Sus scrofa: one gene and its partners. The protein of the gene in region 6 interacts with the protein of the main gene of each other region in a biochemical or structural test. Links are inferred from orthologs where the notes say so. Each region holds a gene or a part of one and is shown on either strand. Other genes may lie near its edges. The genes, in order: BCAR3, HCK, ITK, NCK1, SHC1, ERBB3 and FER.

Evidence for each region.
Region 1: the proteins of ERBB3 (region 6) and BCAR3 form a complex in vitro, tested with the Homo sapiens proteins (2 studies listed by BioGRID and IntAct, with this or other methods). The link is inferred for Sus scrofa from reciprocal best matches to the Homo sapiens genes ERBB3 and BCAR3.
Region 2: the proteins of ERBB3 (region 6) and HCK form a complex in vitro, tested with the Homo sapiens proteins (2 studies listed by BioGRID and IntAct, with this or other methods). The link is inferred for Sus scrofa from reciprocal best matches to the Homo sapiens genes ERBB3 and HCK.
Region 3: the proteins of ERBB3 (region 6) and ITK form a complex in vitro, tested with the Homo sapiens proteins (2 studies listed by BioGRID and IntAct, with this or other methods). The link is inferred for Sus scrofa from reciprocal best matches to the Homo sapiens genes ERBB3 and ITK.
Region 4: the proteins of ERBB3 (region 6) and NCK1 form a complex in vitro, tested with the Homo sapiens proteins (2 studies listed by BioGRID and IntAct, with this or other methods). The link is inferred for Sus scrofa from reciprocal best matches to the Homo sapiens genes ERBB3 and NCK1.
Region 5: the proteins of ERBB3 (region 6) and SHC1 form a complex in vitro, tested with the Homo sapiens proteins (2 studies listed by BioGRID and IntAct, with this or other methods). The link is inferred for Sus scrofa from reciprocal best matches to the Homo sapiens genes ERBB3 and SHC1.
Region 7: the proteins of ERBB3 (region 6) and FER form a complex in vitro, tested with the Homo sapiens proteins (2 studies listed by BioGRID and IntAct, with this or other methods). The link is inferred for Sus scrofa from reciprocal best matches to the Homo sapiens genes ERBB3 and FER.

Annotation. Positions count from the first base shown.
Region 1 is NC_010446.5:123,646,571-123,650,070, reverse strand, and holds part of BCAR3 (breast cancer anti-estrogen resistance protein 3), read right to left. Parts: intron 3,199-3,500; coding exon 2,546-3,198; intron 1-2,545. UniProt on the Homo sapiens protein: Acts as an adapter protein downstream of several growth factor receptors to promote cell proliferation, migration, and redistribution of actin fibers.
Region 2 is NC_010459.5:35,707,189-35,711,372, forward strand, and holds the start of HCK (tyrosine-protein kinase HCK), read left to right. Parts: upstream 1-1,384; 5' UTR 1,385-1,456; intron 1,457-2,097; exon of another isoform or gene 2,098-2,670; intron 2,671-4,184. UniProt on the Homo sapiens protein: Non-receptor tyrosine-protein kinase found in hematopoietic cells that transmits signals from cell surface receptors and plays an important role in the regulation of innate immune responses, including neutrophil, monocyte, macrophage and mast cell functions, phagocytosis, cell survival and proliferation, cell adhesion and migration.
Region 3 is NC_010458.4:66,079,464-66,083,528, reverse strand, and holds the start of ITK (tyrosine-protein kinase ITK/TSK), read left to right. Parts: upstream 1-1,265; 5' UTR 1,266-1,424; coding exon 1,425-1,562; intron 1,563-4,065. UniProt on the Homo sapiens protein: Tyrosine kinase that plays an essential role in regulation of the adaptive immune response. Regulates the development, function and differentiation of conventional T-cells and nonconventional NKT-cells.
Region 4 is NC_010455.5:77,862,436-77,866,454, reverse strand, and holds the start of NCK1 (cytoplasmic protein NCK1), read right to left. Parts: upstream 2,801-4,019; 5' UTR 2,642-2,800; exon of another isoform or gene 2,206-2,641; intron 1-2,205. UniProt on the Homo sapiens protein: Adapter protein which associates with tyrosine-phosphorylated growth factor receptors, such as KDR and PDGFRB, or their cellular substrates. Maintains low levels of EIF2S1 phosphorylation by promoting its dephosphorylation by PP1.
Region 5 is NC_010446.5:94,821,365-94,825,633, forward strand, and holds the start of SHC1 (SHC-transforming protein 1), read left to right. Parts: upstream 1-1,469; 5' UTR 1,470-1,825; coding exon 1,826-2,320; intron 2,321-2,888; coding exon 2,889-2,959; intron 2,960-3,548; coding exon 3,549-3,612; intron 3,613-3,764; coding exon 3,765-3,884; intron 3,885-4,160; coding exon 4,161-4,214; intron 4,215-4,269. UniProt on the Homo sapiens protein: Signaling adapter that couples activated growth factor receptors to signaling pathways. Participates in a signaling cascade initiated by activated KIT and KITLG/SCF.
Region 6 is NC_010447.5:21,493,379-21,495,540, reverse strand, and holds the end of ERBB3 (receptor tyrosine-protein kinase erbB-3), read right to left. Parts: intron 2,153-2,162; coding exon 1,629-2,152; 3' UTR 501-1,628; downstream 1-500. UniProt on the Homo sapiens protein: Tyrosine-protein kinase that plays an essential role as cell surface receptor for neuregulins.
Region 7 is NC_010444.4:113,772,948-113,776,919, reverse strand, and holds the start of FER (tyrosine-protein kinase Fer), read right to left. Parts: upstream 2,801-3,972; 5' UTR 2,446-2,800; exon of another isoform or gene 2,442-2,445; intron 2,033-2,441; exon of another isoform or gene 1,930-2,032; intron 1-1,929. UniProt on the Homo sapiens protein: Tyrosine-protein kinase that acts downstream of cell surface receptors for growth factors and plays a role in the regulation of the actin cytoskeleton, microtubule assembly, lamellipodia formation, cell adhesion, cell migration and chemotaxis.

The DNA of each region.
Region 1 (3,500 bases), on a different chromosome or scaffold from region 6:
CGTAATGAGAGTCCAAGGCCTGTCGCTGACACATTTTATTCTGGAAGCACAAGTATCCAGAGTGTTCCCTTCTCCACCAGAGAAACCTCCAGTCTGCTCTCCTTTGTGTAAACATGCAGTCCAGTCACTTTCCGGGGGTGTGACCAGGAAATGCCGACACCTGCCTGTCCTTAGGCTCAGCTCTGGGGCAAAGGGCTCCTGAGCTCAGTGCAGAGCCTGGATTAGGTCTCCTGGAAAAGCCCAGGGCCACGCAGCTCACAGGTGCAGAGGCGGGACAACACCTCTAGAGCATTGACTCTGAGCTGGGCAGTGACAGCGGTGCCCCATGATGAGCCATTCCAGCCACCCCCTGCTCTTCTCATGGGGGCCTGCAGGCAGGCGGGGGAGTGATCCCCCACCAGGAGGACAAAATGCAAACAGAGAAGCAGAACGAGGAGGTGGGCAGGCTGCCCAGTCCTTCATTTGAGAACAGACTTGGCTCTAGCTTCACGGCTGCCAGTGGGAAGATTCTAGACTGTCCTGCAAAGAGTGGTCAGGCGTCTTGCGTCCTCCGAGACTCCCACCAAGCCCACCTGAGGCCCCAGGGGAGAGGGAGTCACCCTCTGCTGAGAATTGGGATGTTCTGTGAACGCAGACTCCGCTCCCACAAGGAGCTTCCTCCCTGGAGAACCAGACGGGTTCCTGGCCGGTGAGTGTGGTTCTGCTCTCAGATCCAGGGCCCATCATGAACTTCCTACAACAGGACCTAAATCCTCTTCCTGCCCAAACAGGTTGAGCTTGCTTTACAATGCGGTAAGGTCTTGACAAGGCAAATGATCTGACCGCGTGGGCAGTGCCCAAGGATACCCAGCCAAACACGCGGGACAGCCCTGGTCCTGGCAGCCCCTCTACACTCACACGGACCACGACCCAGCCTCGGTCCTGTTTCAAGGAAGGGGTTTGTTCACCCCAGAGCAGCCAGTACCTGCTTAACATTCCCCGGAGGGGTTTGGGGAGGCCCCCTGTGCTGCTGTGAGCCTCGCCAACTGAGGGACTCTAGGGTGTGGGGGTGGAAAGTGCTCTGACTCCGCATTTCCTGCCATGATTCATGACCCAGGAAATTGAGTTAGGAAAACCCAGTTCCTCAACAAGCCCTGACCTTTGAAGCTAATTTTCTTTACTGAACTACAAGCCATGGCACTAAGGCCTTATCTGTTGCTCAAATGTAGGGATCCGCCTCTTGATACCGAGCACGCTGTAGCCTTAAACACCTGCTCTCTAGAAATCGCTCTCTCAAAAAAAAGCAGCAAAAGCCACCATGGCTAAAAGAAACGCTTCCTCTCCAAAGTGATGATGTAAGCATGGCTTTATGTGGTCCCTGGACAGATAATCATGAAATGCTCTTCAATCAAAGACAACAAGGGTTTGGAATGGCAGGTATGGCCTGTGCCAGCTCTGTGGTAAACACTTACATACGCATGCAATCATTTCCATGTCATCTGTTAACCAGGAGGATCACCAGGAACCTGGATTGAGTGTGATTTTTTTCTCTTTTTTAATCTGCACTGTATATGTTTTCTAAAATTGTATCTTACAATTGTATTTTATTATTTTTCTAAATTGAGCAAGCAAGTTTAAAAATGATCATCCTAGGAGTTCCTGTCATGGCTCAGTGGTTAACGAATCCGACTAGGAACCATGAGGTTGCAGGTTCAATCCCTGGCCTTGCTCAGTGGGTGAAGGATCCGGCGTTGCCGTGAGCTGTGGTGTAGGTTGCAGACGTGGCTCGGAGCCCACGTTGCTGTGGCTGTGGTGTAGACCAGTGACTACAGCTCCAATTAGACCCCTAACCTGGGAACCTCCATATGCCAAAGGTGCAGCCCTAGAAAAGGCAAAAAAAAAAAAAGTTCATCCTGGGAGCTCCTGCTGTGGCGTAATGGGATCAGTGGCGTCCTGGGAGCACTGTGGCGAGGGTTTGATCCCCAGCCTGGCACAGTGGTTTAAGGATCCAGCCTTGCCGCACCTGCAGCTTAGGTCATGATGGCCACTCAGATTTCGATCCCTGGCCCAGGAGTGCCATGTGCCATGGGGTGGCCAAAAATAAAACAAAAAAAAGTTTATCCTAAAGACTATTTTCATAACGACGACACATGCATGAATAGAACTGATACATGGATCGCGCATCGGGAAAGAACGGCAACCAAGGCTCTGTCACTCCAGAAACTACACTTTTGTCTCCTTTGGACTCGATTTTACCTGTTCTGATGGAGTTGAGGCGCGGAGAGACCTGAACGGCAGCAGAGAGAAGGACACAGCAGGGGTGGGGACGGAGAAGAGGCACGACCTGGGCCGCCACCCTCTGTCCCACGTGAACTTCACCAGCGTCCCGCCTGGACAAGGGTTGTCCGGCCTGCAGTTCCCACCCCTTAAATAAACCCCACGCCCGGGTTATCACCTGAGCTTTCCGGTGAGCAAAAAGCATGTCCAAGCTAAGGCGGACCGAGGCCCAGGCAGAGGCTCTTTCCAAATGTTTGCAAATCCGACCACAGCCGCCGCGCGCACCTACCTTGCAGTCCACGCTCAGCATGTGCTGGGCGATGACCCTGGGGTCGTGGCTGGCGAACAGCTCCTTGGCCCGCTTCAGCAGGGCCGTTTCCAGGGGCTTGTTCTCGGGAGGAAGGAGCTGCGACTCAAAGTCGTTGGGCTTGAAGGAGGAGGCCGTCTCCAGCAGGGGCCGCACAAACGCGCCCTCGTCCTCCCGCCCCTGGTCCCTGCGGGCCGGCGGCGGCCCCCACGGCCGTGCCCCGTCGTCGTCATCGAGGATCAGGTAGCTGGTGTCGGAGGTCCGGGGTCCCGGCGCCCCATTCTGCTTGGCCGTCAGCAGCTCCACGTAGCTGTCCTGGGCACACAGGGGCGGCCGGGCGGCCCCGTCGCAGCCCGCGGCCAAGGCCAGGTTCAGTTCGCAGTAGTTGGCCTCCGAGGGGGGCCAGACGGCTGGAGATGGGGGCGCCTTGAGGCTGGGTGCCTTGCAGGGCTTGGGGGGCGGCTTGGGGCACAGCTGGCTGTCCGAGCCCCTCAGCGCCTCCCCTGCCCGGGTGTCCGAGGAGACCCTCCGAACCACCGCCGGGCTCAGGGTGGGCTCGCTGCCGGTCCTGAAAACAGGTGAGCCGGGGCTGGGGCTTGTGCCCACGCCTGGGGACTGGGGGGGCAGCTTCCCGCCTGCAGAGGGAAAGAGAGGCTCAGAAAAGGCTCAGCTGCGTGGAGAACGCGAAAAGGACAAAGCCAGGGTGGCGGCTGCTGGTCCTCAATTTGGGCCCTGGGGTTTCAACGTCCACCCTCAAGAGAGAAGTGAGCAGGACGGCTGCAGGCCGGTCTGGAGCAGGTCAAAGGCTCGGGGCCCCGCCCGACCTCTGGGGGAGATCTCAGCCCCAGTGACGACTGACAGCTGGGCTGCAATGTCACTTTATGGTCTCAGAAGGTTCGTACCGTCAGAACAGGGAAATAGATGAGCTTGGAGGGCA
Region 2 (4,184 bases), on a different chromosome or scaffold from region 6:
TGGGAATTCAAATTAAGACCAGTAGATGGTGTCAAGGGTCAATCAAGATATGGGGAAGTGACCACTGTGGCTCAGTGGAAACAATCTGACTAGTATCCATGAGGACGCAGGTTCCATCCCTGGCCTTGCTCAGTGGGATAAAGATCCGGCGTTGCCATAAACTGTGGTGTAGATCCCAGACAGCGACTCAGATTCTGAGTTGCTGTGGCTGTGGCGTAGGCTGGCAGCTGCAGCTCTGATTGGACACCTAGCCTGGGAACCACCATATGTGGTGGGTGCAGCCCTAAAAAGCAGGGGAAAAAAAAAAAAAGATATGGGGAAGTGGTGGGAGAGGAATCCAGGCAGCAGCCATTACGTAAGCATTCTTGGTCAAGCAATTCTTTATGAAATTCTCACATGGGTTCATAAGGAGACACGTATGAGGCGGTCCATTGCAGCTGTGTTTATGGTACTGTGAAGTAGTGTGCCGTCTGGGCATCCATGACTAGGGGAATGGATACATAGACTATGGAGGATGTAGACAACTACCTTTGGCAGCATAGCTAGATAGTAACAGTATCGAGTGATAGAGTGGGGAAAAAAGGCAAAACTGAATACCTACCACCCAAGTAAATCAAGCACACAATCAAAACATTATCTGCTTTTTAAAAGTGCAGGCATGTATTTAGGTACACACACCAAACACATAAGAACAGGGTTATTATCTTTCTCATTCAAGTTTCTGTTCTCCCTTCCCACCCCTCCTCAGATATTTGGTTATGTCTGGATACATTTTTAGCTGTCACGAATGGGGAAGAGGGTTTGCTACTAACATCTAGTGGATGAAATTCAGGAATTCTTTTCAATATCCTACTATGCACAGGACAGCCCCCAAGACAAAGAATTTCAGGACCTAAAGGTCACCAGTGCCATGGTTGAGAAGCCCTGTGTAGCCCAGAGCCCAGCACAGTATTGCTGAATGAATGAATGAGAGATGAAGGTGGCCTGAACTGGCTAGGAGCAGTGGGACTACAGAGACGCAGTAGGATTCTGGAGGTGTGTTCAGCAGAATTTTGGGTGAGAATCCTTCTCTTTCCAGGTGGAGATATGCTGTGCCCTTGCCTGGCGCTGGGCACATCTCTTTCATGTGCGGCCTCCACTTGCCGTCACTCAGTTTTGGAACTCCTCTGAGCTACCCGGAAACCGACAAGGAGTGAGCTAGGCTGGTTCCTGCGGGCAGGGCACTTTGCATGGATTTGAATAGCGAGGGGCCTGCAGAGCGGAAACCGCAGACCACAGAAGGGATGGGAAGGCTTAGGACCCGGCCTGGGGGAGGGGCCTGGGCTAGAAGGAGGGGTTTGGAATGGTGGGGAAACAGGTCGAAATGCTTGGAGGAGGGGGAGTGGATTTAGAATCCTGTACGAATGACGACAGTGGGGTGAAGATCCTCCGGAATCGGTTTAGAATCCTTTAATAGGTGGGATCAGAAATCCTGGAGGTCAGGAATGGAATCTTTGAATGGGTCGATGAGAATCTGGAAGGGGGGGGTCGGGCGTTTAAAGGGTATTAAAATCCTGTGAGGGAGTTCCTGATGTAGCCCAGCGGGTTAAGAACCGATTAGTATCATGACGATAGGGGTTCGATCTCTGGCCTCGCTCTGTGGATTAAGGATCCAGCATTACGGTCAGCTGTGGTATAGGTCGCAGACGAGGCTCGGATCCCGAGTTGCTTTGGCTGTGGCGTAGGTCGACAGCTGTAGCTCCGATTTGACCCCTAGCCTGGGAACTTCCATGTGCCGCGGGGTGCGGCCCTAAAAAGAAAAAAAAAAAAAAAAAATCCTGTGGGAACAGGTTAGGATCACCTAAGAGAGAGATTAGAATCTTTAGGATTAGGGTCATAAATCTTGAGGCCTGGGTTAGAATCTTTTTTAGAAGCCTTTGGTTGGCCGGGATTAAAATCCTGGGGGCAGAACTAGAAACCTCCCGTAGGCGAGGTTAAAATTCCTTCCGCTGTGAGAATCAAAATCCTTCAGGGCAGAATTAAGACCTTGGGAGGAGATGGGGTGTTGGGGTTCTGGGGAGGGCGGGGTTTAGAATCCTTTGGGACGGGGTTAGGGCTTTGGGAGATGGAATTCGAATACATTAGAGAAGGCATTAGGTTATCTGGGGGTTATGACCTTTGAGAGACCGGTTAAAATTCTTGGAGGCGGGGTTATCCTTCTGGAAGGAGGTTAGGATTCTTGGGGACAGGGTTAGAAGTTTTGGATGGGCGGGGTTTAAAAATAATTTCCTACTTGGTGGGATTAGGATTTTGGGGAGGTGGGGACGGAGATTAGAATAACCCGGGTCGGGTTAGAATCTTCGGGGGCGGGTTTAGGATACTCGGGGGCGGGGTTAGCACCACTCCGGGCGCGGCTAAAGCGCCCAGATGGTCTGTGGGCGCCAAGGCGTCCCAGGTCCTAGCCCGGGCGCAACTCTGGGCGATTGGGAGGGACGCAGACAGCTCAGCCAAGAGGGGCCCCCAAAAAACAACGCACCGAAACACCTCGGAGCGCAGCCCCAGCCTCTTCTCCAAAGTCACTCTCTCTTCCCTGCGGCACCGGCGCCCGGGCACCCCGGGATCTGCCGAGCTGGGGGGTCGCTCCAGTTGCGAGGACCCGGGCTGCCCACCGGAGGAGGAACGGGCGCCCAGGTGAGTTTCTCGGACCCAGGATCGGGCGACATCAGCTCGTCACCTTGGCCTGACGGTCTTCGGGCTGCGGAGGGAGCCCAGGGTGGAGAGCGGGGAAGGTTGGGCTGCAGCTGGAAGGGACCGTCGGGGAAGCGGATGACAGGTGGCCGGATGGGGGGACCGAACCCTCCGGGAGGATGCCCAGATAAATAGCAGAACTGCCTGGCTGAGAACCTGGGAAGGCTCGAGAGTGACTTTAAGCCTGAGCCGCCACTTCTCTGGGCGGTCCAGCTTCCCTTTCTGCAAAAGGAAAAAAAAAAAAAAAAAAAAAAAAAAGTCTTCACAGAGCCCGGGGAGGGGAAGACCCTTACGATTCCTGGTTGGGGTGGATGATGGTCACAGTCACGGCGGGTTGGCAGCCATAGTGGGGAAGGGGACAGCTGGCCGTAGGCGTGACGTGTGAGCCACACCCAGGCAAGGCTGCAGCTGGGTCTGCTCGCTGAGCTTGCTCCTCCTCCCACGCTGGGCCCTGATCCCCAGCAGTCTAGGTTAAACCCCAAAATCCCCTGGACAGACCACAGGATGCCTGGCCCCTCCCTTTCCTCCTTGTGAGACCTTGGACAAGTCACCCTCCCTTTCTAAATTCCCTTTCCTCATCTGTCAAGGAGCACTATCAATTCTTCCTTCCAAGGCTGCAGTAAGCTAGAGTGTGTTAGAGATCACTATTGTGGCAGTTTAGTGTAATAGTTAAGGAAGAGGTTTCTGGGAGCAATCTGCCTGTTGAACCTTGGGCAGGGGATCTGGTCTTTCTGTGCCTCCGTTTCCACAACTGTAAGATGGGGATAATTAAAATAATGGTTGTGTCATAGGGTTGTTTTGAAGGTTAGACTGAGTTATTGAAGGAAAGCTCTTAAAGCACTGCCTGACAGGTCGACGGCTTAATTGGTATTCACTACTATCACAGCTTTTAAGGATTAACCAAGTGGTTCTCGAACTTTATCTGTGCATCAGTAGCACCTGGAAGGCTTCTTACAACCCAGGTTTCTGGGCCTTGACCCCAGAGTTTGTGATGGAGTAGGTCTGGCACTGGAGCCCAAGAATTTGCATTCCCAGGTGATACTGATGCTGCTGGTCCAGGAACCACACTTTGAGAACCACTTTGGACGGCACAGACAAGGGCCTCAATAGATAGCAGTTCTCAAGAGTTCCCTGGTGAGTCAGTGGGTTGAGGATCTGGTGTTGTCACTGCTGTGGCTCAGGTTTGATCCCTGGCCTGGGAACTTCCACATGCTGAGGGCAAGGTCAAAAAAAAAAAAAAAAAAAAAAAAAGTCATTTAACATACAGCCCTCTGTCTCAAAAAACTATAACTGTGCCTTGACTGCTGACTGGGTCCCAGAGTTTTCTGAGATGCTCTTCCTGGGTTTAAATCCTCAAATTTGGCTCAAATAAAATTTTCCATTAGGAGTTCTCGTCGTGGTGCAGTGGTTAACGAATCCGACTAGGAACCATGAGGTTGCGGGTTCCATCCCTGCCC
Region 3 (4,065 bases), on a different chromosome or scaffold from region 6:
AACACATTTTTCTAAACATCCTTTTTATAGGCCAGGCACCATAATGATGTCTGAGTTTATAATGGTGAACAAAACCATACATAGTCCTTACCATTAGGGAGCTTCTGGACTAATGGGGGAGACAAACATTAACCTCAACAATCACCCTCTAAAAAGTGTAACTATCATAAGGGGTGTGGTATAAGGTGCCATTTGCATATAATTGGCGGGTTTGACTTGGTAAAACTAGGAAGGAGACTAGCAGTATAATTTAGAGTTAAAGCAGGCAAAGCACAGCAGTAAAGATGTTTTCAGGTAAAGTGAGCAGATGTTCAAAGTAGCATGTGAGCACACCTGAGAGCCCATGAGTGAGCTATGAGATGAGACTGGCAAGCAAGTTGGAAGGCAGCCCTACAGTGCTGCAGGTAGGGGCTGTTATTCCCCTTTGTAGGCAAAAAAAGCTGAGGCTTTCTGTTCTTGAGAAATTGGCTGCAGTCTCACAGCTAGTTAGCTGGTGGAAGCCAAGGTGTGGGAGGTAAGGATGTCCTTGTCCTAATCCTTACCTACCATTAGTTTACATGATAAACATACATTCGTTTACATGATAAAGGGGAATTGAGGTAGAATATGGAATTATGGTTGCTAATAAACAGATCTTGATATAGGAAGATTATTTTAGATTATCCAGGCAAACCCAAAGCCATCGTAAGGATCCTTAAATTTGAAGAGGAAGGCAGAAATGGTCAGAGTTGTATGAGTTGAGAGGACTTGACCTCCTAATGGTGGCTTCAAATGTAGACAAAGAGGGCCTCCAGTCAAGGTGCACAGGTAGTCCTAGAAGCTGGAAGGGGCAAGGAAACAGAGTCTACCCTAGAGATCCTCTAGAAAGGATGTCACAATCCTGCTGATATCTCGATTTTAGCCCAATGAGACCCATTTTACATTTCTGAACTACAGAACTGAAAGATAATGAAATTTGTGAGGCAGTAAACTTAAGGATAAGTTGTTACAGCAGCCAATGGAAAACTAATACACAAACTACACAACCTATGTGCATCATCTCCAGAGCCCATGTTCCTACCTCAACGGTTGAACAGGCTAACCCAGTAACTATAAAGATTAAACTCAAGGCCATCAGGTCATTTTGAGTCTAAAGTTCTTTAAAAATAATTTCTAAACCATGCAGCAAAGGGTATATATAATTTTTACATATGTCTCATAGTTTTATGAACTTCGAAAGGATGTGGTTATGGGCTTTGACATCAGAGAAGCTTTGCGATGTTGACTGACTGTTGATAGAGCGATAACATTGGAGGCACGTTGCCTTTGAACAAAGCTCTCTGAAGATCAACTGCCTCCCCGTCACAGTCCTTTCCCTGAAGCTGTTTGCTCTGGTTGTGCTGAGGGGTGATGCCCGAGGTGCATCACTTTTCAAGAACTGGATCATGAACAACTTTATCCTCCTGGAAGAGCAGCTCATCAAGAAATCCCAACAAAAGAGAAGAACTTCTCCTTCGAACTTTAAAGTCCGGTTCTTTGTTTTAACCAAAACCAGCCTGGCATATTTTGAGGACCGCCATGGGGTATGTGAGCACTTTCTTGTTCGTCTTTTTCTTAAACAGTACTTTAGAGTTTGGGCTGAATCATGAAGATATGCATAGAATAAAATACGAACACAGGGAACACGGATGTGCTTCTTAACCACCTAAAACGTACAGTAAGGGTAATTGGAAGAGAACATGGAGAAAAGTCAAGATACAGGATAATTGTATTAGGTGATTTTAGTTCTAAAAACTATAAAAGAACGTTTATTATCGTTAGCTTTGTCTTTTCCCTGCATGTTAAGTTTAACTTTTAAACTACATTTTTTTTATGGCAAATCAATGGCTAAGTGAAGGGTCCAATGTTAGCATTTTTATGGACTCAGTTTTATTTGTCTCAATCTCATTACTCACCTGACATTTGGAATAAGAGTCCCTGAGCATTTAACCGTCGAAAATTTGCAAGGCCTAGTGGTAAACCTCTTTATCCCTGGAGAACCTCCCAGGAGACTAGGAATCATGCATGAAGGGTTGTGCAGTACCAGGCAGAGGTTCTTATCCAGATTGCAGCTACTTACCTGTCAGTCTTTATATATCTAATGATATTCTTATGTTGTATAACATCAGTAATAGTAAAAGAGACAATGAATAATCCTAACAACATAGTTTGGTACAAAAAGCCCTGGAAGAGGGGTCAGGAGACCAAAGCCTACTTCTCTCTAGGTGAGTTAGCCTGGGCCAGTGTCTCTGCTTTACTCGTTAGGTTTTTTCTTTATGAAATGAAAGGACTGGAAATACTACCTACAACATTCCTTTCTTCTTCCTTTTTTTTTTCTATGAAGTAGCATTTGTATAGCTTTTGTTCGCATTTTTTCAAAGTGAGTTTGACTTCTTACTATGTCATTGTATTATTTTTCCATCACCAGGGAGGTGGGGAAAATGTTAGGTGCTTGATGGTCACTTAGAAACAAAGGTTATTTTCTTTCTTGGCTAGGATCTGACTAAGTAGGTGTAGGCACAAGTTTGGGGTCTCCTAAGAGCCAGGGTTTGTAGTGTTCAGTGAAATGGAGTCCTGAAGGGGACCAGACTGGGTATGGAGGCTATGGATGACTGGGCTTCTAAGACGCAGAAGAAATAATATTGCCTCTTCCTCAGAGGTGAAGAATCAACTTAGGCAGATTCTTACTGGTAATAATCCACCAACCAGTCAGGACGAATGTGGAATTACTTATGTGTAAGGCCCCTTTGGTAGGTATTCAATAAGTGTTGGTTGACAAAATTAATGGAGGGCCAAGAGCCAAGTTTTCATCTTGGAGAATTCATCATTTAGAGCTGATTAATCACACAGCATCAGTCAGCTTTTTCCTATTGTGAATAGGACATTAGAAACTCTTGTTTCATAGCCAAAGAGCAGTTGTTTACCTGTAAGTATTTCTTTCAAACGCAATTTTACAGTTTTCACCAATTTTTTTTTTCTGATTCAACACTCAACATAGCATCACCTCATGTAGTTAGTACCAATCATTTTTTGAGCATAATTGTGAACTGTTTGGTTGTGAATGCTGTACCATAGTATTTGCAAAGAGTAAATGGTCTTTTTTCAAAATTTTGTTTGTTGTCATTGGTATGCAGACAATGTTGTAGAATAATTCAGCTTCTTCATTCGAACACTATGAAAATTCTAAGACAATGAATTCATTCTGGGGAGCCCTGAGCTATAGTTTCTAATATTTCCATGTGGGAAATAGCAGATATATAATATACAAACCTCACATTCTTATTTTCTAATGTGTATGTTCTATATGCATAAATAATATTTTCAAAGTATTTCTTTAAATATTATAGAAATTTATGATTAGAAATTTTTCTAGGGTCACTGAGAAAAGTAAGATAAGTGGTTATTTTTTATTCTTCATGCCCTATGGATATTCCATTGCTTAAGACCATCAGTTTGCACACAAGAGTACATTGCGCATTGCCCATAAATAACAATAGCATTATACTGTGGGAAGAAAGTTTTAATTTTTTTTTTTTTTTTGTCTTTTTGCCATTTCTTGAGCCGCTCTTGCGGCATATGAAGGCTAGGGGTTGAATAGGAGCTGTAGACACTGGCCTACACCACAGTCACAGCATGGTAGGATCCAAGCCACGTCTGCGACCTATACCACAGCTCACGGCAACGCCGGATCTTTAACCCACTGAGCAAGGCCAGGGACCGAACCCGCAACCTCATGATTCCTAGTCGGATTCATTAACCACTGAGCCATGATGGGAACTCCCGAAGGTTTTAACTTTTAATTAAAGCCTCAATTTTGCCATCTGTAAAATGGGTGTGATGATAGTGTTCACTTCATGGGAAAAAATGGTAAAAATTAAGAGAGAATGTATTTAGACTAATCTATTTGAAATTACCACTTGGCAGATCAAAAAAAGATCAAATATTTGCAATTTCATATAGTTCAACTTAATATATAAAATACTTAGCCTAAGTTCTGTCACCTTGTGAAAATCTAGTAAAAAATAGGTATTATTTATATCATCATTT
Region 4 (4,019 bases), on a different chromosome or scaffold from region 6:
CAATGTTATGTGGACACAAGTCAAAGATAAAACCAATTTTTATGTCTGGCTAATTTAAGGCAGAATAATATCACTAAAGACAAAGTCAGCATATGGAATCAGTTTTCATGGGAAAGCTATAAATTCTATCTTTCAAATAAAGTGAGAAATATCCAGATAGAATTGTTGCCTTATTAAATAACCCTTAAGTGTCATTTTTGGCCCTGTCAGTAGTCTTCCTAAAACAGCACAGCAAAGTATTTATGGAGAACTTAAGTGCTTAGTGATTTCAAGAGTTTCCTCCAATCCTAGTTATTAACTAAATAACTAAAAAATCATTTAGTCTTCTGGTATAAGTAGAGAGCATTTGGTATTTTTCTATAAAGGAGAGCAAATTGTGAAAATTATTAAACTATAAGGGAAAAAAATGGACTGCATTTGTATCTATTAAGTCTTCCTGACAAGTGATTTACAACAATAATCACATCTACCTTGAGCTTTGGCAAGAAAGCTCTCAAAGGTTAAGAAATTAAAATAAAATAGAGGAATGAACTGAGGGTTTGGGGAGGAAATGTTCTAAAATTGAGATTGTGGTGTTCTGTTGTGGCTCAGTGGTTAACGAATCCGACTAGGAACCATGAGGTTTCGGGTTCGATCCCTGGCCTCGCTCAGTGGGTTAAGGATCCGGAGTTGCTGTGAGCTGTGGTGTAGGTTGCAGACACGGCTCGGCTCGGATCTAGTGTTGCTGTGGCTGTGGCACAGGCCGCCAGCTACAACTCCGATTCGACCCCTAGCCTGGGAACCTCCATATACTGCAGGTGTGGCCCTGGAAAAAGAAAAAAAAAAAAAAAAAAAGAGTAAAATTAGGTTGTGATGATGGTCGTACAACTATAAATATGTACTAAAATTCACTGAATTAAAAAAAGAAAAAATGGAGTTCCTCTCGGGGCTCAGTGGAAATCAATCTGACTAGCATCCATGAACATGCAGGTTCCATCCCTAGCCTCGAGCAGTGGGTTAAGGATCTGGTGTTGCCATGAGCTGTTGTGTAGGTCACAGACGCCTCTCAGATCTGGCATTGCTATGGCTGTGGTGTAGGCCGGCGGGTGTAGCTCCCACTCGACCCCTAGCCTGGGAACCTCCAAATACCACGGGTTCCGCCCTAAAAAGACAAAAAAATAAATAAATAAAAATTTAAAAAGAAAAGAAAAATCCAATGGCATGATAAAAAATGTTTGATGTATGCTTCAAGTTTTATTTACAAAGACCTCTAAATCTGGACTAAATATAATGCTTAGAAAAAGAAAGCAAACAACTTAAAATTTAATACATGAACAAGCACAGCTAAGAAATCTTGACCATTCTGCATAGAATGCTTACAAATCATAATTTCCAAAAAAGAAAGTCCCCACGTTTGTGATCAAGATAAAATAAAACTATTAATCAACCACTGCATATTTCTCGAGTTTCTATCAAACTGTGAATGGGATGCCTATTTAAGAACTAAACATTATTGACAATTATCAAACAGATAAAACCTTCTTCTTGGATTATTTCCCCATTTACTATGCACTCATAGCTGAAGATGGAGACTTTGGGTACAGTGCTTTCCAAGTGCTTAATAAATTGTACAAATTGTCTTTCATAAATCTGCCGAAGTTAAGATTTTAAAAAGTGAATACCTCTTGCAACACTTACCAGTTTTGTCCGGATATTCAGCTTATTTGCTCACCACCCAATACAGGATTAGAAATTTCTCCTTACCTTCTTTCCTAACTCTCATGGTTTCTTACCAAATCCAACGGCCAGAATTATTTTTAGGTAACTAATTCCTTAGTTAGACATTAACTGAGCGCACATAATGTTAGGGTTCTCAGACCCGAACAAAATCCAGCTTCCCGAGTTTCTGACGGCTAATTTAACTTTTATGGACACAGATAAGAAAGGTTACAAAACCAACTATCGAGATACATTCTTTTTACTGGATATATTAGAACACAATATAGTCAAAAGCTCATAGTTCAATCAACTCTCGTACTAATCTACCGCAAATCCACAAGATTAAAATAACCCGTATTTTTCCAGTAGAAGGGAAAGGAGGGGGGGACTGGAGGGGGCGTATGGCGCATCACCAGGATGTCCACCCCCAACACAGGGAAACGCTCCTTACCCCCACTCTCAAGCTGGGGGTGTGCACGCCCCTGTCCTCGTCTACCACGTCCCTACCTTCGCGGCCTCGGACTGCGCCACAACAGCCAACACGACTTTTGGTTAGGAAAAGAAACGGGGTGGGGGACACGCGCCACACATTCGACCTCCCAGCCTCACGGGGCCGCAGGCCGCTGCGCTCAACACGACCGGACTCCCAAAGGATGGAGAGGGAGGCCGCGGGGCCGCGCCGCCCAGGGCAGTGGCCAGAGGGTCGCGCGCAGCAGCCAGGCAAATGCCTAGGCCGGGACGAGCGGCCTCCCCGCCCCCTCCGGCTCAACTCGGGGCCGGCAGACGGCGCCCCCGGGGGCTAACTTCGCCGGGGAAGAGGAAGTGCCGCGGCAAGTAACAGGCTGTGAAGACTCTGGAAGCAAGGAAAAGCTGTCCGTGCGTCTGCCTGCCGGCAGGACCGTCTCACCTCCCCTCTTGCCGAGCCCAGGCGGCCCCAGCTCACCTGAGGAGGGCACCGGGATGCCACCGCGGCCACCGCGATGGCCGTTAGGGCACGAGGCCTCCGCTCTGCCGCCGCGTAGCTCTGGGGAGAGGGGCGGGGCGCGCGGCGAGTGGGCGGGGCTGCTGTGCGGACTGGCTGCGAGGCCGCGGGCGGATCCGCGCGGGCAGGAAACCCCCTCCCTGCCCCATCTAATAGGCTCAGCCGCTCCGTTCCCTCCTATCACTGACGCGAGAGCGATCTGCGCTGCGCCACGAGTGGGCGGGCCCCTCTGTCAATCAAGCGTTGTGCTGGGTGTGGAGTGAGCTGAGAAGGCTCCGCAGACAGCTTTGAGCGAGCGGGCGAGGAACGCCGGGCCTGCATCTGATTCTTGTAGCTTTTGTCTCTCTAGCTGATTACTTTGGACTTTCTCAGCGCCACAGGAGAGAACCCACAACAGAAATGACGGCTTCCCGAGGTCAGCCCTTGCTATTCTGGACGCTTCCTCCTGGTTTCCGCATCTGAAGAAGGTCTTGCCAGCAAAAGGTTTTTAAGGGCGGGGAACTTAAAAAGCAAAACAAACATAAAGACCTGGAAATGGGGACCTGAGAGGAAAATGTCAGACATATGCTTAAATTGAGCAGCAAACAGAAATAAGCTGAGTCTGAAGGCCTTCGAAGGGTCCTGGTGCGTGGGTAGCTTCCCGTCTTGGCTGCAGAAGCCTTGCTGTGAGGAGAGCAGTGATCTTTGGTGCCAGGTCTGCCCATTCTTAGCGGCCCAGCCCCAGTCACCGGCCATCAGTAAGTTGGTTCTCCCGCGACGCCAGCACTGCAGCCACCCTCCATTCCCTGCCATCTCTGTAGCTCTGCTTAGGTGTTGCCCCCTTAGGGAAGACTGCCAAGGTGCACAGATATTGTCCCCACCTAAGCTGTTGAAAGAGTCAGTCCGTCTCCCTACCGACACTGTACATTCAGTTAAATCAGGAGCCATGTCAGTATACAGTTTTTCCCCAGTGCCAAGCACATGCTAGATCGTCAGTAAATATTGTTTAGGCATTAATACATCTTCCAATCCCATTTTTAATCCTGGCCCTAAATTCCAAGAGTTTCTGCTTTTCTATATTTAACTTCAAAATTGTTTGCGTGCTGATAGAGGTGTGTGGTTCACTTGCTATATATAGGATCACAAGGTCAAGCACAAAACACCTATGGTCCAGCCCTTCCTGGCCTCAAGTTGGCTAGAGCAAGTAGACCACACTGAACTCCAGGCAGCAACAACTCTACATCTATATCCCATAACTAGCATCTAAAGTGAATAATGTAAGTGAATTTTGGATTATTCAAAGGGTCTAAATACCTTTGCATATTTTATCATGGACTGAATTGTGTTCCCTACCAAAATT
Region 5 (4,269 bases), on a different chromosome or scaffold from region 6:
CGATGCCCACACCTGTTGGTCATCCACGACCTCTGGATCCTGCAGGCAGCCACCAAATGCCTGCCTCTGAAGATGAGCACATCCTGGTGTGTGTTTGTGTGTGTGGAAGGTGTGAGGCTCCGGCAGCATACTTTCTTCATTCTCTCTAGGCCTGGGAGCTGAGGCCTTAGGAAAGAGAGCCATAGAGTTTCTTCCCAGGAGTGGCAAATGGAGTGGCAAAGCTCTCCTCCGTTGTGGACCAAGAGGAGGTGATAAGCACAGTGTCTGACACGTTCGAAGTGCTGGTGCTGTTGATCACTATAATCCTATGATTATTTGCTGTCTTTTTATCCTGGGAGATAAATTTAAGGATAGATATTCCGAGGCCAGCCTGGGGGGCTATATATATCTTTCACTCTTTATTTCTTGGTCACTTTCCAGCTGCCTCCATGGCCCCCTCGAGCAGAGCTGGCGTGAAGCTGTGGGTGGAAGGAATGGGTTTGAGACTGTTTCCTGTGTCCAGCCTCAGTCCTCCTTTTCCTGGCACTCCTTTCCCCTTGGCACAGATTGGTCTTCTGCCTACCCTATCCCTTCGTGGCCTGTAGCCCCCGTCCCCCTCCTCTTGGAGAACTGTTTCACTCTCCCCTCCCCAGCCAGACGCTGCCCCTGGCGGGGTGGGGCCTCGGGCTCTGTGGTGGATACCTGTACTCTCTAGGGTCCCTACGGCCAGAGGAGGGGTAGGAGCTTACCTGCAGGTCCAGGGCACTGACGTTAGTGTCAGTGCCCTGGCAGCCCCCACCCCTCCTACCCTTGATAACTTGCTTGGCTGCGGAAAGTGGTGGGGGGCTGCAGAAGGGTGCCTGGCATGAGTTGCTGCTCCTTGGCATGGTAGACGCCATGCAGAGAACAAGCCTCCACCAGCCTGTCGTCTGCTCCGGCTCCTGCCTGGTGGCTCCCTGATGCAACACCCATCATGATGATGAAGTAAGGGACTTCATTCCCTTACTTCACCAGCTCTGCCCTTCCCCTTGGCCCCTCTCTGCATCCACCGGGACCATGTCCTTCCTTTTCCCATTTCTGTAGCTCCCTCCCCGGCTGTTGCAGCGGAGGATGCTAATGACCGAGACTAGGGGGTGCTGGGGGATGAGGGAATCTGAGTGTTCGACCAGGACAGGAAGGGAAATGCTGAGCTCAGGGATCCCCTCCCTTTCCCACCCCCAGCTGCCTCTGTTTCCTCCCTCATTCCCCACTCCCCCCACCAGCTTCCTGCTCCCTTTGACCTGCCCATGTCCGGTTTGGATTGATCCAGACCTCCTCTTATCGCCCTCCTTTCCTTCTCACCCCTCCATCCTTCCCTTCCAATCCCACTCTACTCCTCCCTAGATTACATGTTGTTTGTACGGGGTGGGCCGGGGTGGGGGCGGGGGGGGGGACGGGGGTGGGGCGGGCGGTGGGGGCACGGTGCACTCTGCCCCGAAAGAGTTCTAGGTTGGGGCGGTGTTGGGGGCTCAGCCCCTCAGAGCCTGTGAGTCAGCACTGTCCACGGGATTGGTCTCTCCCCTTTGCTCCCCGCCCCTGGGGAGGAGCCAGGCAGCTCTAGGTCCAGCCTGTTCTCCTCTCAGCCAGAGAAGAGGCTCCACGCTGGGCAGAGATGGGGCCTGGAACTGTCTGGGTCTGAGCCGCGGGAGCCAGAGCCACTTGTCCCTCTCCCTCCCCAGGACCCTTGAGACCCCTGGGCCACAGAGGTCCGATCAGGCTAAGGGCCTGGGGATGCCCCCTGCCTGGCCCCCTTGCCCTGACTGGCAGGGGGGCCAGGCTGGGCAGCAGCCTCCCTCTCACTCCAGCCATGGATCTCCTGCCCCCCAAGCCCAAGTACAACCCACTTCGGAATGAGTCTCTGTCATCGCTGGAGGAGGGGGCTTCAGGGTCCACTCCACCAGAGGAGCTGCCTTCCCCGTCAGCCTCGTCCCTGGGGCCCATGCTGCCACCTCTGCCAGGGGACGACAGCCCCACCACCCTGTGCTCCTTCTTCCCCCGGATGAGCAACCTGAAGCTGGCCAACCCAGCTGGGGGGCGCCCAGGGCCGAAGGGGGAGCCAGGAAGGGCAGCCGAGGATGGGGAGGGGACCGTCGGGGCAGCTGTACCCGACTCGGGCCCCCTACCCTTCCTCCAGGACATGAACAAGCTGAGTGGAGGCGGCGGGCGCAGGACTCGGGTGGAAGGGGGCCAGCTGGGGGGCGAGGAGTGGACCCGCCACGGGAGCTTCGTCAATAAGCCCACGCGGGGCTGGCTGCATCCCAACGACAAAGTCATGGGACCCGGGGTTTCCTACTTGGTTCGGGTGAGTGAGCGTCCTCCCTCCCTGACCCCTTCAGTTCCTCTGCTCATGAGTCTCTCTTTTTCGCCCCTTCTTTTCCCCAGCAACTCCCTTGGTTTCCGTGTCCTGTTTCTTAAGCCTTTTGTGCGCCTTCTCTGATTCTGTAGCCCCTTCTCTTCCAGCTCTGTCTGGGTCCCCTTGGGTCCTGCGACTCCCCCACCCCTACCCCCAGCCTGCCATGCTCAGCACAAAGCCCAGGACAGGCCCTTAGTAAGTGTTGGAATGAGTGGCTCTTGAGTGACTCCCCTCCAGTCTGCTCCCCCTTTCTGGAGTTGTCACTCCATCCCAGCCAGGGCCTGTCGCTCCCCTCCAAATTCCCTCCCCCCACCCCCCACTGTGCAGGAGGTCCTCCTAGCTCGCCCTTCTCTCCTCACCCCCTATTGTCCTGCACTCTGTGGGATGGAGCCACGGGCAGCGGGGCAGAACTTCATCTCTTCTTCCCTGAGGGACCACGTAGGGCAGAGTCCTACGGCCCTTTGTGAAGAGGCTGGAGGGGGGCGGCTGACTCTCCTCCTCGCATCCCTCCCCTCAGTACATGGGCTGTGTGGAGGTCCTGCAGTCGATGCGCGCCCTGGACTTCAACACCCGGACTCAGGTCACCAGGTTCGTGGGGAGGCGGGGCCGAGAGCGCAGGGCTCCTGGCATTCAGGCCGGGAGGGGGTCGCTTGGTGGTGGTGGCTAGTGCTGGCTTGTCTTTGGGTGGGGAAGGCGATTTAGAGACAGGTAGGAGAGTCAGTCTAAGTCTCAATGAAAAGAGACAACTCTGACCCGGCTCCTTCTACGTATCCAGCCTGGGGAGTTGTGGGGGAGGTGGCAGAGGCAGCTGGCAGCTGGAGCTTGAGTGGAAAATGGGGGTAGATGGAAGGTTGCTGCCCGCCGCTGCCGCCGCCACCACCGCCGCCACCACCACTGCCGCCACCACCACCACCACCACCACCACCGCCTTTGGGAAGGGGCTGGGACATTTGGTAGCTGGAAGGGGGTGGGGCCAGACCCACTGAGGCCCTAACCCAATCAGCCAGGAAGCGGCCTCTCAGTGTCATCAAATATTAAAGGCCCTTAATTCAATCCACCACGACAAAGAGCCTGGAGTGCCCCTGGAGTCTGGCCTGGCCTTCCCCTCCCCCAGCCCTGTGGCAGCCCCAGCCGAGTGGGAGGCAGGCTCTGGGTCTGAGTACCCCTCTTTCCCCAGGGAGGCCATCAGTCTGGTGTGTGAGGCTGTGCCGGGTGCGAAGGGGGCGACAAGGAGGAGAAAGGTACCTGGGGTCCACGGCACGGGGGATGCTGCCGGGAGATGCGGAGGAGCAGGGGCAAGGCTAGTGTGGCGCGTGTGGGGAGAAGGGCAGGAGTGCGGGCGGTTTCCTGGTGTGGGATCTCCCAGCTTCTGAGACCTGGGGCCCTTCCCCAGCCCTGTGGCCGCCCACTCAGCTCCATCCTGGGGAGGAGTAACCTGAAATTTGCTGGAATGCCAATCACTCTCACCGTCTCCACCAGCAGCCTCAACCTCATGGCCGCAGACTGCAAACAGGTTGGTGGGGTGGAGTCAGGGTCAGGGCGGGGGGTGAGGGCGTGCAGAAACACCGATGGGAAGGCTCAGTGGGAACCTGGCCACGAGGGCAAGAACTTAGCAGAGAAGCCTTGGGCGCAGCAGAGCTGTAGGGAAGGTGTAGATTAGGAGGACATGGGTTGAGAAGCCAAAGGGACGCTGGGGTCCCGGGCCAGTGGTGGGGGGTGCCCAGTGGACCCTCAGGCTGCCTGACACCCGTCCTTCCCTTCCTTCTCCATCCTCTGCCCTAACCCTCAGATCATCGCCAACCACCATATGCAATCCATCTCGTTTGCGTCCGGCGGGGACCCGGTGAGTCGGGGAGTGCACCAAGGTGGTGGGAGAGGAGAGAGGGGCTTGGGATGGG
Region 6 (2,162 bases):
GCGAGTGTGGAAGGAGACCCGGAGTGCGTGGAGCAGGGACTAACTGGGCACCAGATTTCTGTGGGATTATCCATGTACAGCCTTCCAAGTCTAGAGGCCGGCTCCCTCTGAAGATGGCACTATTGTTCCAACAACAGGCTTTGATGGCACCTAAGACGGACACTTTTTTTTAAAGTTGTGAAACGTTTGAGAGTTTCAGTATTCTACCTCTTGGGGCCTTTTCTAACTGCCCCAAACGTGTTTTGTTTGGTTGTTTTGTTACTCCCAGTTAGTCGGTTGCCCTATACAGATTCCTAGTAAAACGCTTAAATGAAAAGGACTGTACCCTTTGCTTGTCTAAAGAGACTATAAGGAAAGTGGGGCTGGAGAAAGCTACAGGGGGCCAAGTAGGACTGTGGGGAGACAGAGAAGGAAGCATGCCATGGTAGCCATTCTCTGCTGTGGAACGGAGAAAAGGGCTGATCTGTCCACTCACTAAAGTTTGTCGTTAGACAAGAAGCTGCAAAACCTTGGCATCTTTATTCAGACATGTATAAAAACAAAACAAAAACTTGAGGGATAAAAACAGATACTCCCAGTTTCCCATTCAAAGGAACTGAGGTCTGAAGCCGGGTCCTCTTTTTCATCTCCACTGGAAGCTTCCCACTACTGAATGAGAACTGCTCCTAAAAAATGGCTCTGGGGACCGTCTGAGTCTGTCCCTTAGGCAGATATCATATGTAGCACACGAAGATTACGGTTTACACAGAGATGTCCAGTTATTTTTCCTTCTGTCCACCCCCTTACTCCCACTTGCTGAGATGAGCAGTCCAGGTGTAGGAGGAGGCTGTGGATATTGGGGTTAGACTTGATTCAGTGCAAACACAAGAAGACAATACCTCTTACTAGTGCTCTGACTTTCATCAGTTTTCTTTGACACCTTACACTAAGAGCATGGTGCATTGGAAAATTTTGAATCCTGGACCTGCTACTTGATTTACTTAATCTCCTTAAGGCTCAGTTTCCTTATTTGTAAAATGGGATAATGCCTAGCTCACAGAATTGGTGTCAAGGATTAAGTGAGATGGGTAAGTTTAGATGATACTTGGCACACAGTCAACGTTCAATGAACAGTAATCATTACTATATACTCCCAACCTCTTTCTTCACAAGATTTTTAAGCATCTCATTCTTTCTAGGGGGTTAAGAATCATAAGCCAAAAATCTCACTTTCTCCTGCCATTTTCCCTCCTTTCCTCTTCCTTAAAAGTCTGCTGGGAAACAAAGTCACACTTTAAAGCCTAGTCTCAACAAGTCAGAGTCTGAGAGAAAGGGATATGGGGAGGAATCCTTCATATCTCCAGGGAGTTCCCCTGAGAAAGTTGAGGAATAGGATTGGGAAAGAGCACAAAATAAGGAAAACTATCTCCTTTCCTGGGATTGGGAAAGAGAAGAAAGTGCACAGCTGGCTATATACCACAAGAACGTTGTGTCAACACGTTTAAGGCCTCCAAAGTTTGAATGGAATTGTCTGGGACTAGGGAAATGGCGCTGAGACCTGTGAGGGAGAGGGGCTAAAGAGAAGAGGGGTACCCTCTAGAGGCACTAGCTGCCATCAAATGCTCCCTGAGGTATTCAGGAAGCAGAGGTTATGTTCTCTGGGCATTAGCCTTGGGGAAAAGCCTGCTATGCCAGTAATCCGGGTTATCAAAGGCGGAGTCAGTGGCTTCTAAACTACGTAGAGTTTTGAGGCGGGCATAATGGACCTGAGGGCCATGGTGTCCAGGCCCCTGGAAAGCTCTCATTTCTTCATACCCTTGCTCAGCTGCTGGGCAGGCCTCCATGGCTGCATAATCCCCCCCAGGACCCCCTCCACCACGTCGCCGATTCATATATTCATAGTCCTCATCTGGAGTTGTGCTGGCATTGGGCATGGTGGGCACAGGGTTGAGTGGGCAACTCTGTGTGCTGCCCAGGGAAGCACTGAGGTCTGATCCCACATCCATGTACTCATAACCCAGCTCCTCGAGGGAACTTGGCCTTGGGGGACGAGCTGGACTGCACCTTCTCCTCCGGTTCATGTATTCATACTCCTCATCTTCTTCTTCTTCCTCGGTCCCCAGGACAGAACTGAGACCGACTGAAGAAAGGGTGCCTTCCCGGGAGGAGGTACCTGGGGGGTT
Region 7 (3,972 bases), on a different chromosome or scaffold from region 6:
TCCAAAGATGCTCATTTAAAAACCAAGTACAGGAGTTCCCATTGTGTCTCAGCTGTAATGAAGCTGACTAGTATCCATGAGAACACAGGTTCGATCCCTGGCCTCTCTCAGCGTGTAAAGGATCCAGCTCCACAGCAAGTTGCAGTGTAAGTCATAGATAAGGCATGGATCAGGCATTGCTGTAGCTGTGGTATAGGCTGGCAGCTGTAGCTCCAATTCAACCCATAGCATGGGAATTTCCATATGCCGAGGGTGAGGCCTTAAAAAAGCAAAAAAAAAAAAAAAAAAAAAAATCAAGTACAAAACTATAATCTATTAACACAAGTCCAATTTTAAGACAAAACTTTTATTTGTATAACGAGTTATCAGATTTCGTTTTTTTCTGATTGCCAAAATGCAATTAATTCATTTAGCCCTTGATTTAAAAAGATGATGACTTTCTACTCACAGGACTGCTTTATAATAGTTTCATGTAATTAAATCAGTATAGTCTTTATAAACACTATTTCCATCTACAAAGAGAAATGAGTAATCCACAACATTTTGGTGTGATACACATATATTTATATAATACTGGTTTTCAAACTTGATAATTTCAGTTCCTCTGTTCCTGAGGATATATATACCATATAAAAGCCGTCTTGAAAATGTTACTGCTGTGTAAGTGGTGAGTACTCAGCACACAATCCAACTTTCCTGCATTGTTTGAAATTTTTCATAGTAAAATACTGGAGGAAAAAACTGCAAATGAGAAACATTCACAGACCAGAGTTATACATACATAACACTTTAAGATGAAAAGAATGTGTCGATCAAAAGCCTGAATCATTTCTTCAACTACTGATATCAACCTTTGAAATACGGCAGAAGCTGCATTAACTGGACCCTATATAATTTTACATAATAGGTATTTAATGCTGCCAACCACCAGTGTGTAAGAGAAACAGATCTTCACCAACTGTCTTTCATGAAAAAAACTAGAGAAAGGGTTGCCAAGTATGCCTATACACTCTCAATACATTTCCAATACTTCTGAAAGCATAGTTTTCTTGAGAGAACTAAGAGAAAAGATTTCCCGAATCACAAAACATACACTGAGCCTTCCTTTGTATTGAGTGACAAATGTGTGGCTCTTCACAAATATGTGTTCCTACAGCCCATGTAGCTACATACACCAGGACTACAACACTGCACAGTGAAATAATTACACTTTGCAACAGATTTTTTAAACTCCCGTTCCCATTCCATAGGTTGAAAAGTACTTTCTAGTCTTAATTACTAAAATAGTTTTGGTCTATTCTTACTGATTTTTCTATTACATTTTTATATCGGTGACTCCATTTGAGAATTTTTAAAAACATTTTAAATTATCTTGAGAAAAAGAAAAAATGGCACTACACCTTTAAGTTATATCAAATTGATGAGTACTATGAATACACGCAGCTTCGTATGAATTAAAAAGATTAAGATTTTTTAACCATAAGGCAAACGAAAATGAAAGTACCAGCCTTAATAAATTATTAAACTCTGGACTGCACAGTACTATATATCAAAATCACAAATGCCCAAAAGTAAAAAGCAACAACTTCACAGTTAATTTGTGCAATGACGTACCACCCTATCAACACCGACCCAATTAGCGGGTTTCAGAAAGTTGATCCTAAAGTAGACTAAGGCAGAGAGCTGACCCGAAGGTGACTCCAAACACCTCCTCAACCCTAAATGGCAAAGAGGGAATAGAAATTGCCTCAGTTGCGCTAGCTTCAGACTTAATCTATCCCTCGAGGGTTACCCCTGGCCAGGACTGAAATATGATGGAAGGTGGAGGATAAAAGGGGTGGTGAAGCTGACATGAGAAGAACTGGGGGCGGACTGCGCCGGTCCAGGGAGACCGCAGGGCCCCAGCGGTAGGAAGGGGTGGGGCAATACCTAGGGGGTGTAGGTGGCCGCCCCAGCCGGAGAGCCCGCCGAGTGAGAAGTGAGCGCGCCGAGAGAAAGGGGTGCAGGCGTGATGGGCGGTGCCCACAGTCCTCCCTGCAACGCCCCAAACCCCGCAGCCCCCAGACCCGGCGACGGGGCGGAGCCATCGCGCCCGCTCTGCCCTCTCGCGCCGGCACCAGCCCCCTCAGCGTCTAGTCCCGGGTGGGTGGGAGGAGCGGGCCTCGCCCAGCCGGGTGGGCAGCCCGGCCCAAGCCCCAAACTGGAATGCGCCGCCGCGGGCGTAGGACGGAGGCAAGACCCCTAAGCCGGGGGCAGGAGGGGGGTGGCTGAGGGCGGAGAAAGAGCCCTCGGCGCAGCCGCCGCACCAGAGCTGAGCCCCAAGCGCCCCCCTGCGGGCAGGGAGTATTGCCCCGGTTCTCGGCTGGCCTTCCCTACTCTTCCCCCCCTTCCCCGGTGTTGCCCCGGGCAACAGCGCCTGTCGCCGGTGGCGCGAAACTCACCTACCTAGAACCTGACAAGCAGGAGCCCCTCAGACACGGGAGCCAGTCGCCACCCCGCGTCACGGGGGCGGCCGGAGCCAATGGGCGCCGCTGTCACGAGCCTCCGCGGCCAATCCCGCTGTACTCCGGTCTCTGGGCACCCTCGAGGTCTCAGCCAATGGGCACCAGCAGAAGGCGGGCGCTGCCTCCCGACCCCCAACCCCTCTTCCACCACCTCCCAGGAGGCGGGGCGCGGCAGATTGGCCGCGGCCGGAGATGGGTGGGACTCGGGCTCCGAGCCCGGTGGGCGCGCGCGGAGTAGAGGTTGCGGGCGTGGCGAAGGGAGGCGTGAAGTTGCGTCGGCTGCTGTCTAAGCCCGCTCCCCGCTTCGGCCCGGGTCCCGAGGTGCTTCTGTTGGCTCTGCTGTTCTGGTCCCTTAGCTCGCTCCTCTCTGGCTGGTGTCTACGCTGCCAGGATGGGAGTGAGGGCGGGATGCGGCCAAAGGCGGACAGCAGCGTCACAGGAAACTTTGGGAGTCTCGCCTGGCCGCGGCCACTTCCCGGCCGGGCCGGGGGGTGATAAGCTGGGGCCGCCTGGAAGGGACTACCCGGCGGGTCGGCAACCGGAAAGGAATTCGGAGGGTGGGGGTGGAGGCGTGATTAAAATGTTAAGTGTGCCCGGGGGGTTGCTTGGCGATCCCGGGTGCTGAAATTTCCAGGAATGGGCGCGGACCCTACAGCCCAAAATACCCAAAATACGCAGTTTTCACCCTCAGAATCTGTGGCTCTTTCTGTATATCTTACTTGCAGCTATTGTAACGTTGATTCCCTTGAACTAGTTTTCACCTTCCCCAATGGACTCGGAGTGCCTTAAAGGCGAGAACTGTCTTTCTCGTTCCTATAATTCCCATTGCCTGAGACCCTCTTTTTAAAAAAAGTTAGACACTCAGTGTTGCAGTTGTGATGGAGGCGGTTAAAAACTTTACGGCAGGTCTTGTGAGTAGACCCCTGCAGTAGGTCCCTAACTCTTCCAGAGTCTAGAGTGTGTGAAGAACCGAAGTTGGTTTGCTCCTCCAGTGAGGGTTGTTCCTGAAGCGTCCTTGACCAAAAGAATTTAGTGGAAAATGAGAAATTCGAACTAAACGAAGATAACTAGGAGATTGGTAACAGTGTGATAGGTGTTATTAGTCACTATTCCAGGGTGTGTTTCTGTAGTCCATTCTTAAAGGCATTGTGTTGTACGGTGCACATTCTTTCTCTGGAGCAAATTCTAAGGTCAATCCTGTCTCCACCCTCCTTTTCCAAAACGGGTATTCAGTGGGGGCCAAAGAAAAGTGAATATTTTTTCTAAACAGAGTTATTTATTTTACTCTAGGTAACAGCCCTACATTTAGAAAAACAAATTTTAAATAGGACTTTTGTTTACTCTAAAGAAACTAAAACATGCTGTAAAGAAAATTTTTTTTCATTGTATTATAGAAGTTTTAATTGTTTATTTGTATTTTTTAAGCCTAAAAGACGTTGTATTCTTATATTATTCTGCAGTTGAGATT